Linked DNA regions of Bombyx mori. The protein of the gene in region 1 interacts with the protein of each later gene in a pairwise test. Links are inferred from orthologs where the notes say so. Each region holds a gene or a part of one and is shown on either strand. Other genes may lie near its edges. The genes, in order: Smurf2 and serine/threonine-protein kinase fused.

Region 1 (4,329 bases):
GGGAAACACCGTGGAAGGGAGCTCATTCCATAGCCGGATGGTACGTGGCAAAAAAGACCTCTGGAAACGCATTGTCCATGAACGCAGCGGTTCCAGATAATGTGGATGAAGTCTGCTCCGATTGCGGGAGGTGCGATGATAAAAAGGAGATGAGGGGATCATCTCCAACAATTCCTCAGTGTCCTTAGTGCGAGTTTTTTAACGTTCTCGATAGCGTAAAAGTTAGCTCATGTTTGTATGGAATGAGATCGTTTACGTACGTTTGCCGCTAGGGGCTCTGTTCCAACTGCATACAAAATTGACTTAACTTTTACACTATCGAGAACGTTAAGAAACTCGCACTAAGCACACACAGCACTCCCCATGGAACATACGGTACAATATACAGAGAGAACCGAAGTCCCTCCGCAGACCCAGAGGTTCCAAACGATCTGTTAGAATGGGACTATCGACAATCCGAACGGCCCTCTTCTGTATGGGGTCAAATGGAAGAAGCTGGTATTTGGGAGCCCTGGTCCAGAAATAGGAGCAGTACTCCATGCAAGGCCGGACTGGTGCTTTATAAAACAACCCCAAGTATCCCGATACTCTCGGAAGGTTACAGGGATACTCCACGCGAGTATCGAATTGAACAACTGCTCCTAAAATATTTCATATTATAATTCAAAAACCCTTTTTCCATAAATGGGCAGACGAACTCACTACACACTTCGTATTGAGGAGGTAAGCTAAATACGCAAATTTATTAGTAATAGTGTGATTTTATTACACATACTTCACCGTATAAGCTGTTTTTGAAATCGTGTGGGTAATGTATTGACATTGACTTGATCATTCGTTATGAGTATTTTGGGCCACGATAATTTCAGATCGCCAGGCATCCGAAATTTTGCATTGAGACCCCGAATGCTGATTTTTTTTAAATAAATACAATGCCAAACCTAATGTCGAACCCAGACTTCGTGGTACTATAGTCAGCATCACTAAACACTGAACTAACTAGGCGGTCAAACTTTAAATATTCTTTTTGTATGCTTAGTGCGAATTAGTGCACACTAAGCACACTGTATAATAGGTTAGATACCTATAGGTAGAAAACATTAATAACATTATGCTCACGTTAAAATTGTATTGTTTTCCAATAAAATTGTTTTCTCCCTCGTAGAGATGAATTTTATTAATAAACAAACGCATAGCTTGTCCATCCATAGTATGAAAGAGGAAATTCCTGAAGCATAGACAATTATCAAATAGTAAAAGTAGGCTATAAAGTCTTGTGACTGTTGGCCGGGGAAAAAATTGATGAGAAAAATGGCGAACCGAAGTTTAGAAGTTAATTATTTTGTGTAAAATGTTTTTTTAAATCGAACTTAATTTGTTATTTTATAATAAAATGTCGACGCCCATGTCAAATCGTAAATATGGAGCCCAAAAAATTAGGCTAACTAGTGAGTAGCCAATAACGAAACACTCGTTTCGTGGACTTCGTATGATCGTATTTAAGTTTTAATGACATTCTATACATATTACTTATTTGATTGTTTTGTTTTAGTTATATGTGCAAGGAATTTGGTCCGAAAAGATCTCTTTCGTAAGTAAAGCCAACTTCGATATACGCATATTATTACTATTCAAGGTGAAACGAAATTTATGGCATGCTAACATACAATTTTTCTTTTCATGACCATGATAGTACCTAATTGTGGTGTGAAGTATATATCCTGTCCTTGTAGGTTTGCCAGATCCTTTTGCCAAAATATCAGTCGACGGCAGTGGCCAAGTATATTCAACAAATACAGTGAAAGCAACACTTGATCCAAAATGGAATACACATTATGATCTTTATTTAAGCAAAGGAGATGGAATTACCATAAGGTTGGTATTGATAGAAATATTCAGTAAATTGATTATTATGATGTTTTATCAATTAATTAAATAATATATTATATAAATTTTATAAGCACTCCAAACTTATGAAAGTTTGTTGAATGTAAGCACTCACTAATATTATCATAGTAAAATCAATAACAACATGGTGTTCCTATTTTTCATTAAATAACTTTATCACGAACATTCAAACCAATTAAGAATGTAAGCATTGTCGTTTTAACTTTTATCTTATCCTTTAATTATTTATGTTGCCATTCGCCATCAGTTCGGCTATATGCTCATATACTTAATAAGGCATTGAAATAGCATAGTATAAACTGAAAATAAAAACAATAGATCTAAAGCAAAAAACTTATTAATTAAAAAAATTTAGTTCTTCAAAATCTTAATGAACGGATTTTAGCCAAATTATACATTCATTGAGTTTTAAGTTGTTATTACAATTACAAAAATGATTACAGTGTATGGAACCAACGCAAAGTCCACAAAAGGCAAGGGTCTGGTTTTTTAGGATGTGTTCGTATACAACCATCAACTGTACATAAGCTAAAAGATACAGGATGTAAGTACCTTACGATTGATTAGACTTAACACTTTTTATTTCTGAATATAAATGTGGTAGAGAAGATGATGAATGTTTCAGCTATTTTACAAAAAAAAAGTAGAATAATTTTAAAGATTTATACTTAATTTGAAATTTAAAAAAATCATAAACATTGCCAACATTCTTCATTCAGTGTGGAATCTTTAAAGTTATGAATAGTATTTTTAAAATCATCAGCAACTCCATAAATATGATAACCTATTTTGATTATATTGTTTGTTTTATTTCATATAAGAAGTTGAATTATCTTGAACATTGTATTTGATAAGTTTATCTCTGCAAATCTCTAAGATTTAGGATATTATAAATAAAAAAGATGTCCTTCATCATGAATAATTTAAACTGATATTTTATATTTCATTATTGCAAAAAGAAGTGCAATGACATAAAAATTGTGTCATTCCTTATTTTATCATATCGACGCTTGAAAGGCAAAAGTGACTAAGCGACAATGCGTAAACTTTACAGTAGACTAATTTAAAATTGAAATACCTGAAAACAAAATTTATTTTAACGAATCTAGCTGCAGTAGAATCTAGCTAGTAGCTGTAGGATTGAAATGATTTTAATAGACCTAGAAATATTATTTTTTTGCGCATCGAATACGGTTATTGTCTATCATTTATGTACAAAGCAGTTATTGGCGCTTAGTCACGTTTGCCTTTCAAGCGTCGATATGGTATTTTTAAATATTTTAAACATTTTATTTTATAGCCATTGTGGCCTAAAATGCTTTTTATGATAACGTAATTTTACTGGTACTTCGTGAGCCTGCATAAGATTGATACCACAACCTTGCCTATTTCTACTGGAAAACATTAATGGTGCACTGGTTTGAAAAGTACAGCCATAGTTTACAACAAATATTTAATTATAATGTTTCAATTTGGATTACGCTATTTATATTGTTAAGTCTATGTGGTCCAGTGACTACTTAACACAAGATAGGCCATGAGATTGTATATTATGTAATAAATAAAGTTGTTATCTAGAGATAGAGTAGACCCTGACACATAATTTTTTGTGATAGGGAAATTAATCCTTCAAAAGCTTGCACTAGAATGCCTCATATATCTTCAGTTGACACACTTTTTTATTTAAGAATGATACATATAGGTATGCACAGTATTATTTTTTTCCTCCACAAATGACACATAATTAGGTAATCAAATTAAAGAAACTGGTTTGATGTGAAACAAACTTGTTTTCTCACATAAGTATAATATCTACTTATACTACAGCTTAAGAAGATGAATGACATCAAAAAGAAAAATGTTATGAAACTAATGAGACAATTTCCCTCCAAAAGTAAAAGTTGTAATGCTGTTCAGTAACAGATACACACTTTTTAATAATACCTAATTTTTGTCTTTGACCTACTTGAATGTGAGTGATGCCTAAATGCAACTTATACTCTCGTATACAAAATATAGCCAGGGATTTTGGCTGCCTACCACTAGCAGTACAATCCAAACTTTGATTAATATGTTAAATTACCAGCTTAATCTCACATGTTGTGTAACATGCCAGTTCAGTGTGTGTGTGTGTGTGGGTTGTGGTTCAGTGCAGTAGATGTGTGCATATGAATATTAAAATATACAGATATAAATTATTTTTGTGAAAAGAATACTATCATGGTTGCATGGTAGCAGGGACAGAGTCTGCTCTAGTGGCAGGTGTAATGATATTTTTTTAAAGAATAAAAGTAAGTAAATAGTCATTTAACATTAAAATAATAAACTCATGAAAAATATTACAGACCAATGTCTAGAACTCTGTGAAGATGGACAGTCTGGTGAGACGTGTGGAGTCAAAGGCCAGGTCATAATTTCTCT
Region 2 (4,554 bases), on another chromosome or scaffold:
CATCGCTCGACACGAATGCAGCGGACTTCTTACCCTTTGGCCACAACAAATTCAAAATTACATTATACAACAAAATTGAGAATTCAACTTGTGTATGAAGGTGCCGGGGGGCATTCAGGTCAAAATGTCCGTGAACTGTGGTAACCGTCCAAATCCAGGCTGTATACGAGCTTCTCCACCCATCTAATGTAATAAAAAACAATTTCAGATAAATCAATAACAATTTCACTTCGCTATGAAGCTATTCTTTTCAAAAAAGGTTGACCTTTGAATTAATCCGAATCGAAGTATGAAGAATTTATTGAAAAAAATATTCGAATAAGGTTTTATGAAATATCTTCAAACAATGTAAAGAAAATAAATTTGTAGCTAACCTAATGTAACCAATGAATCATTTGGTCTTATCTATGGAGCCACTCACTGAGAATATCCGGGGAAAACTCAGGCGATTATGTCTGTGGATTAAGTTGCATGTCGAACACTTCGCCGCCCACTGAGTTTCTTGTTGGATATTCTTAGTGGGTCCGATTCAGTGGTAGATTCTGCGAAGCACTGCCCTTGCTAGGGCTGATTTTAGCAAATTCTCTCAGGTTGAGCCTGTGTGCTCATCTAACCGTAGTTGTAATAATTCCCGGCGAATAGGTAGGAGAAAAAAATATGATAAGAAGGCTACCTAATAGGTCGGGTTGCTTTTTCAAAGAAACCGCGTCTATGATCGCTTTTGGTCTAGAGACCTCGCCACTTTCCTAAGCCGGCTATTGTAAATTATTTTGTGGTCGTTTTTTGTAACAACAAACAAGGAATTTCAATTTTCCACGCTCGAATCGATTCTTTGGTTTTAGATTGAAAATAATAGTTTAAAATTACTAAAAAAAATAAGCTTTTATAAAAATTAAACTAAAAATAGAAAATAAATTTTAATAAATTTGAATTAAAAATAGTGTAAGAAAAAAATGATCTTATTGTAAAAAAAGTGTGGGTGGTTTTCAGGATATGTATTATCAAAATATTTATAACTGTTATAACCATGCACCCCACGGTTTCTTTTTACAATAAATTCATTTATTCTAAATTGTATATCTGTTATGGTGTATATATGGTGCTAATATAGATCCATTAATTTTGAAACTTCCTGTTTTTATTTATTGTTTTGCATTTCTCTGCTCCAGTCTTTTAACGTACATGATATTATGTATTGTCTATTTAGTGTTTCTTCAGGTTTAAATGTGTAATAACGTTGGTTTATTAACTGTTTATTATCTGTGAAAGTGCACAAATATGGGAAAATGAAACAAAGTCGCTGGACGTAACTTCTCGGGATCCTTCAAAAAGTCCACTGAAAAAATCAGTAAATGACCACCATTTTACTGAGATTATATTTCATCGCATATAATCTCATCATATTTCATTTAATTTTATCCCAGTTGATTAATGTCTCAAATTAATCATCTTCATTTCATTTCATGTCATGTTTCACTTCATTTTATTTCATAATGTCATATTTCATAAAATAAAATAAATTTATAAAAGATTAGGCTGTATGGTATGATACTTTTGCCTTTCTATTTGGAAAAATAAAATTACTACATTACGAAGAGAACAAAATATTTTATGTTTATTTACAATACATATGTACGACGACTGGAGCAGAGAAATGCAAATCAATAAATAAAAACAGGAAGTTTCAAAATTAATGGATCTATATTAGCACCATATATACACCATAATAGATATACAACTTTACATTTTAAAATGAATAGCTACGTTATAAATTCATTCGTCGGCGAAGGCTCATTTGGACGTGTTTTTAAAGCAAAACACAAAGATACCGATGCTGTAGTAGCCTTGAAAGTGATAAGGAAGGTATTTATTAAGTTTTTATGACTTTAAATACTTGGTGCCTTCATGATTTCCTAATTTTTTTCTATAAATGTATACCATCAATACAAATAAATTACAAAAAAAACTTGCGAGTGCTTATTAAATCTTCATTTCCACTATTTCCAAAATAATATATTTAATAAGATCATTAATAAAGTGTGATAAAATAATAATTGTACACACAGAGAATGTTATTAACCAGGTTTTCTTACTAGTAAAATTTTAAATGGTCTTATTCAGTTATCATGATCCCAATGTCTTCGCTGTCATAGATATCACGGTCAAACCTCTCGTCATCCACATTAGTTAATAAACAAATATTCTTACACAATAATTCAACATTTTCAGAAAGGTCGCTCGTCTAAAGACTTAAAATGTTTGAAGCAAGAATGCGACATACAGAGGCAATTGAATCATCCAAACATAATTCGGATGATAGACAGTTTCGACACTGATACAGAATTGGTAGTTGTCACAGAATATGCTGAGAAAGAACTACATGGAATATTGGCTAAGGAGGGTTGTCTTAATGAAGAACAAGTGAAGAAGATTACTTGGGACCTTGTGTCTGCACTGTACTACTTACATTCTCATAGAGTTTTACATAGGTAACTTGTTTGTTTCATATTTTATATCAAATAATAATACTAAACACACATTATTAATATTATATCATTATTGATGTAAATAATAATTATATCTAAACATTTTTTGGACCTTGGCAGGGGGCATAGCTAGGTGAAATCAGTATAATTTATTCATTTTTTCTCTATAGCCTGGCTTATAATAGAGACATTCATCTTATATCTCAATGTGGACAGTTATATTGATTGGTTCTGGATACTGAATCTATTAAGATTTATTTAAATAAAAAGATTAATTTGTAAAAAAATTGAGAGTAGGATAGAAAGTTATTATTGTTCTTATAGTTAATATTTAATTTGATCTGAGCTTTTAACGTTGAAATTGGATATTGAAGTAATTCTCATTGCATAAAATTGAGAAAGAAAATAATCATAGAAATATCTATGATTCATTTATTATGATTTTATATTATTCCTGAACATTTATCATACAAAATAACAATTTTAGAGACCTCAAGCCACAAAATGTGCTATTGGATAGTACAGGACGTGCCAAACTCTGTGACTTTGGTCTTGCAAGAATAATGACAAATGCAACACACATTTTAACATCCATCAAAGGCACACCATTGTACATGGCCCCCGAGTTAATTGATGAGAAGCCATATGATCATCAGGTAATTATATTAAAATAGCATTATATAAACAAAGAGTTATACTGTAATTTTCTGTGGAGATGACATGTTTTTACCTATGTCTTCCGTCTGACCTAACTATTCTTAGTAAAACTATAATTAAAAAAAAAAAACTGGTCAATCTGTTGCTTTGTTTTGATGTGAAAGGGCATACAAATACACAATCTAATAACAAACACACTTTCACATTTATAATATTTGTATAGTGTGGAAGTATGGATACTTAGTATGCATGCTGTTCCATCAATGCAGCTATGCTATTATATTATATAGTAATACTTTCAATTTTCAAAATTACATTAATTATTCTTAGTAAAACATTATTTATAACAATAATTGACATATTTTAGAGTACTTTTATTTTAATTTGTCCTTAGCCTAATTAATATAAATCAATAATTTCAGAGATTTTCCTGTACGTAATTAAAAAAAAAAAAACATGAATTTATGCTAATGATAGTTTATTCAACAATATTTTTATGTATGCATATATGGTAGGGTTTATATATTAATTAATCACTTTGCTATAAACAAAAGTGATTATATCGTTAAAACTTCATTTTATACAGATATTTCTGTCACTTTTTATGCACAAATATGCATCAAAACCTCATGGAATATTGTTATTAATCCTAAAGAGTTGCAAACATTTTTGTACATTACAGGGCTCCTTGTGGAAAATTTCAGCACCTATAACAACAGGAGTTAAAAAAATTTGCTATCACAATACTGACTAAATATCAATATAATAATTATCCAAATTGTTTTTTTTTAAGTATAATAATATGGGTGAATAAGCCACTTTGTGCTATGTGGTTACCTGAGCCCATAGATATCTCAATGTGTTTGAGCACACCTATTTTGAGACATTATATTGAGATCTCAATTGTATTTTTATTTTGTGTATTTTTTTCAGGCAGACTTATGGTCACTTGGCTGTATTGTATATGAGCTAATTGCTGGGCAACCACCTTTCTGTACAATGTCTATATGGCAACTTGTCCGCATGATTAGACACAAACCTGTACAGTGGCCTAGTTTCATCAGCACTAATGCTCGGACCTTCCTACAGGTTTGTTTGCTTTTGAGCTCTCACTTCAAGCTTTTAAAACTGCACAAATAATTTAACATTTTACGTTTAATTAAGTTATACTATTTGTACCATTAGTTTAATAGTATTAAAATATTTATTTAGGGCTTATTGCATAAAGATCCTTTGAAAAGAATGAGCTGGCCAGAAATATTGGAACATCCATTTGTAGCTGGTCACATTCTTATTCTACCAGAAGACGTCCAGAGTGAATCACCATTTACCAAGCCTTTAACACACAGTCAGCAAGAAGCCAAGCAATTGCAGCGGGAAAAAATATGCATTGGGAATGCAAGGTAATAAA

The links.
Region 2: the proteins of Smurf2 (region 1) and serine/threonine-protein kinase fused interact in binary tests that used the Drosophila melanogaster proteins (3 or more experiments, as listed by UniProt). The link is inferred for Bombyx mori from reciprocal best matches to the Drosophila melanogaster genes Smurf and fu.

The regions. Positions count from the first base shown.
Region 1 is NC_085123.1:10,445,331-10,449,659, forward strand, and holds the start of Smurf2 (E3 ubiquitin-protein ligase SMURF2), read left to right. Parts: upstream 1-1,393; coding exon 1,394-1,448; intron 1,449-1,552; coding exon of another isoform or gene 1,553-1,591; intron 1,592-1,733; coding exon 1,734-1,875; intron 1,876-2,351; coding exon 2,352-2,452; intron 2,453-4,253; coding exon 4,254-4,329. UniProt on the Drosophila melanogaster protein: E3 ubiquitin-protein ligase which accepts ubiquitin from an E2 ubiquitin-conjugating enzyme in the form of a thioester and then directly transfers the ubiquitin to targeted substrates.
Region 2 is NC_085116.1:10,508,054-10,512,607, reverse strand, and holds the start of serine/threonine-protein kinase fused, read left to right. Parts: upstream 1-1,565; 5' UTR 1,566-1,752; coding exon 1,753-1,863; intron 1,864-2,229; coding exon 2,230-2,489; intron 2,490-2,973; coding exon 2,974-3,142; intron 3,143-4,076; coding exon 4,077-4,232; intron 4,233-4,355; coding exon 4,356-4,546; intron 4,547-4,554. UniProt on the Drosophila melanogaster protein: Probable serine/threonine-protein kinase; maternally required for correct patterning in the posterior part of each embryonic metamere. May be involved in control of cell division during metamorphosis and ovarian development. May interact with costal-2.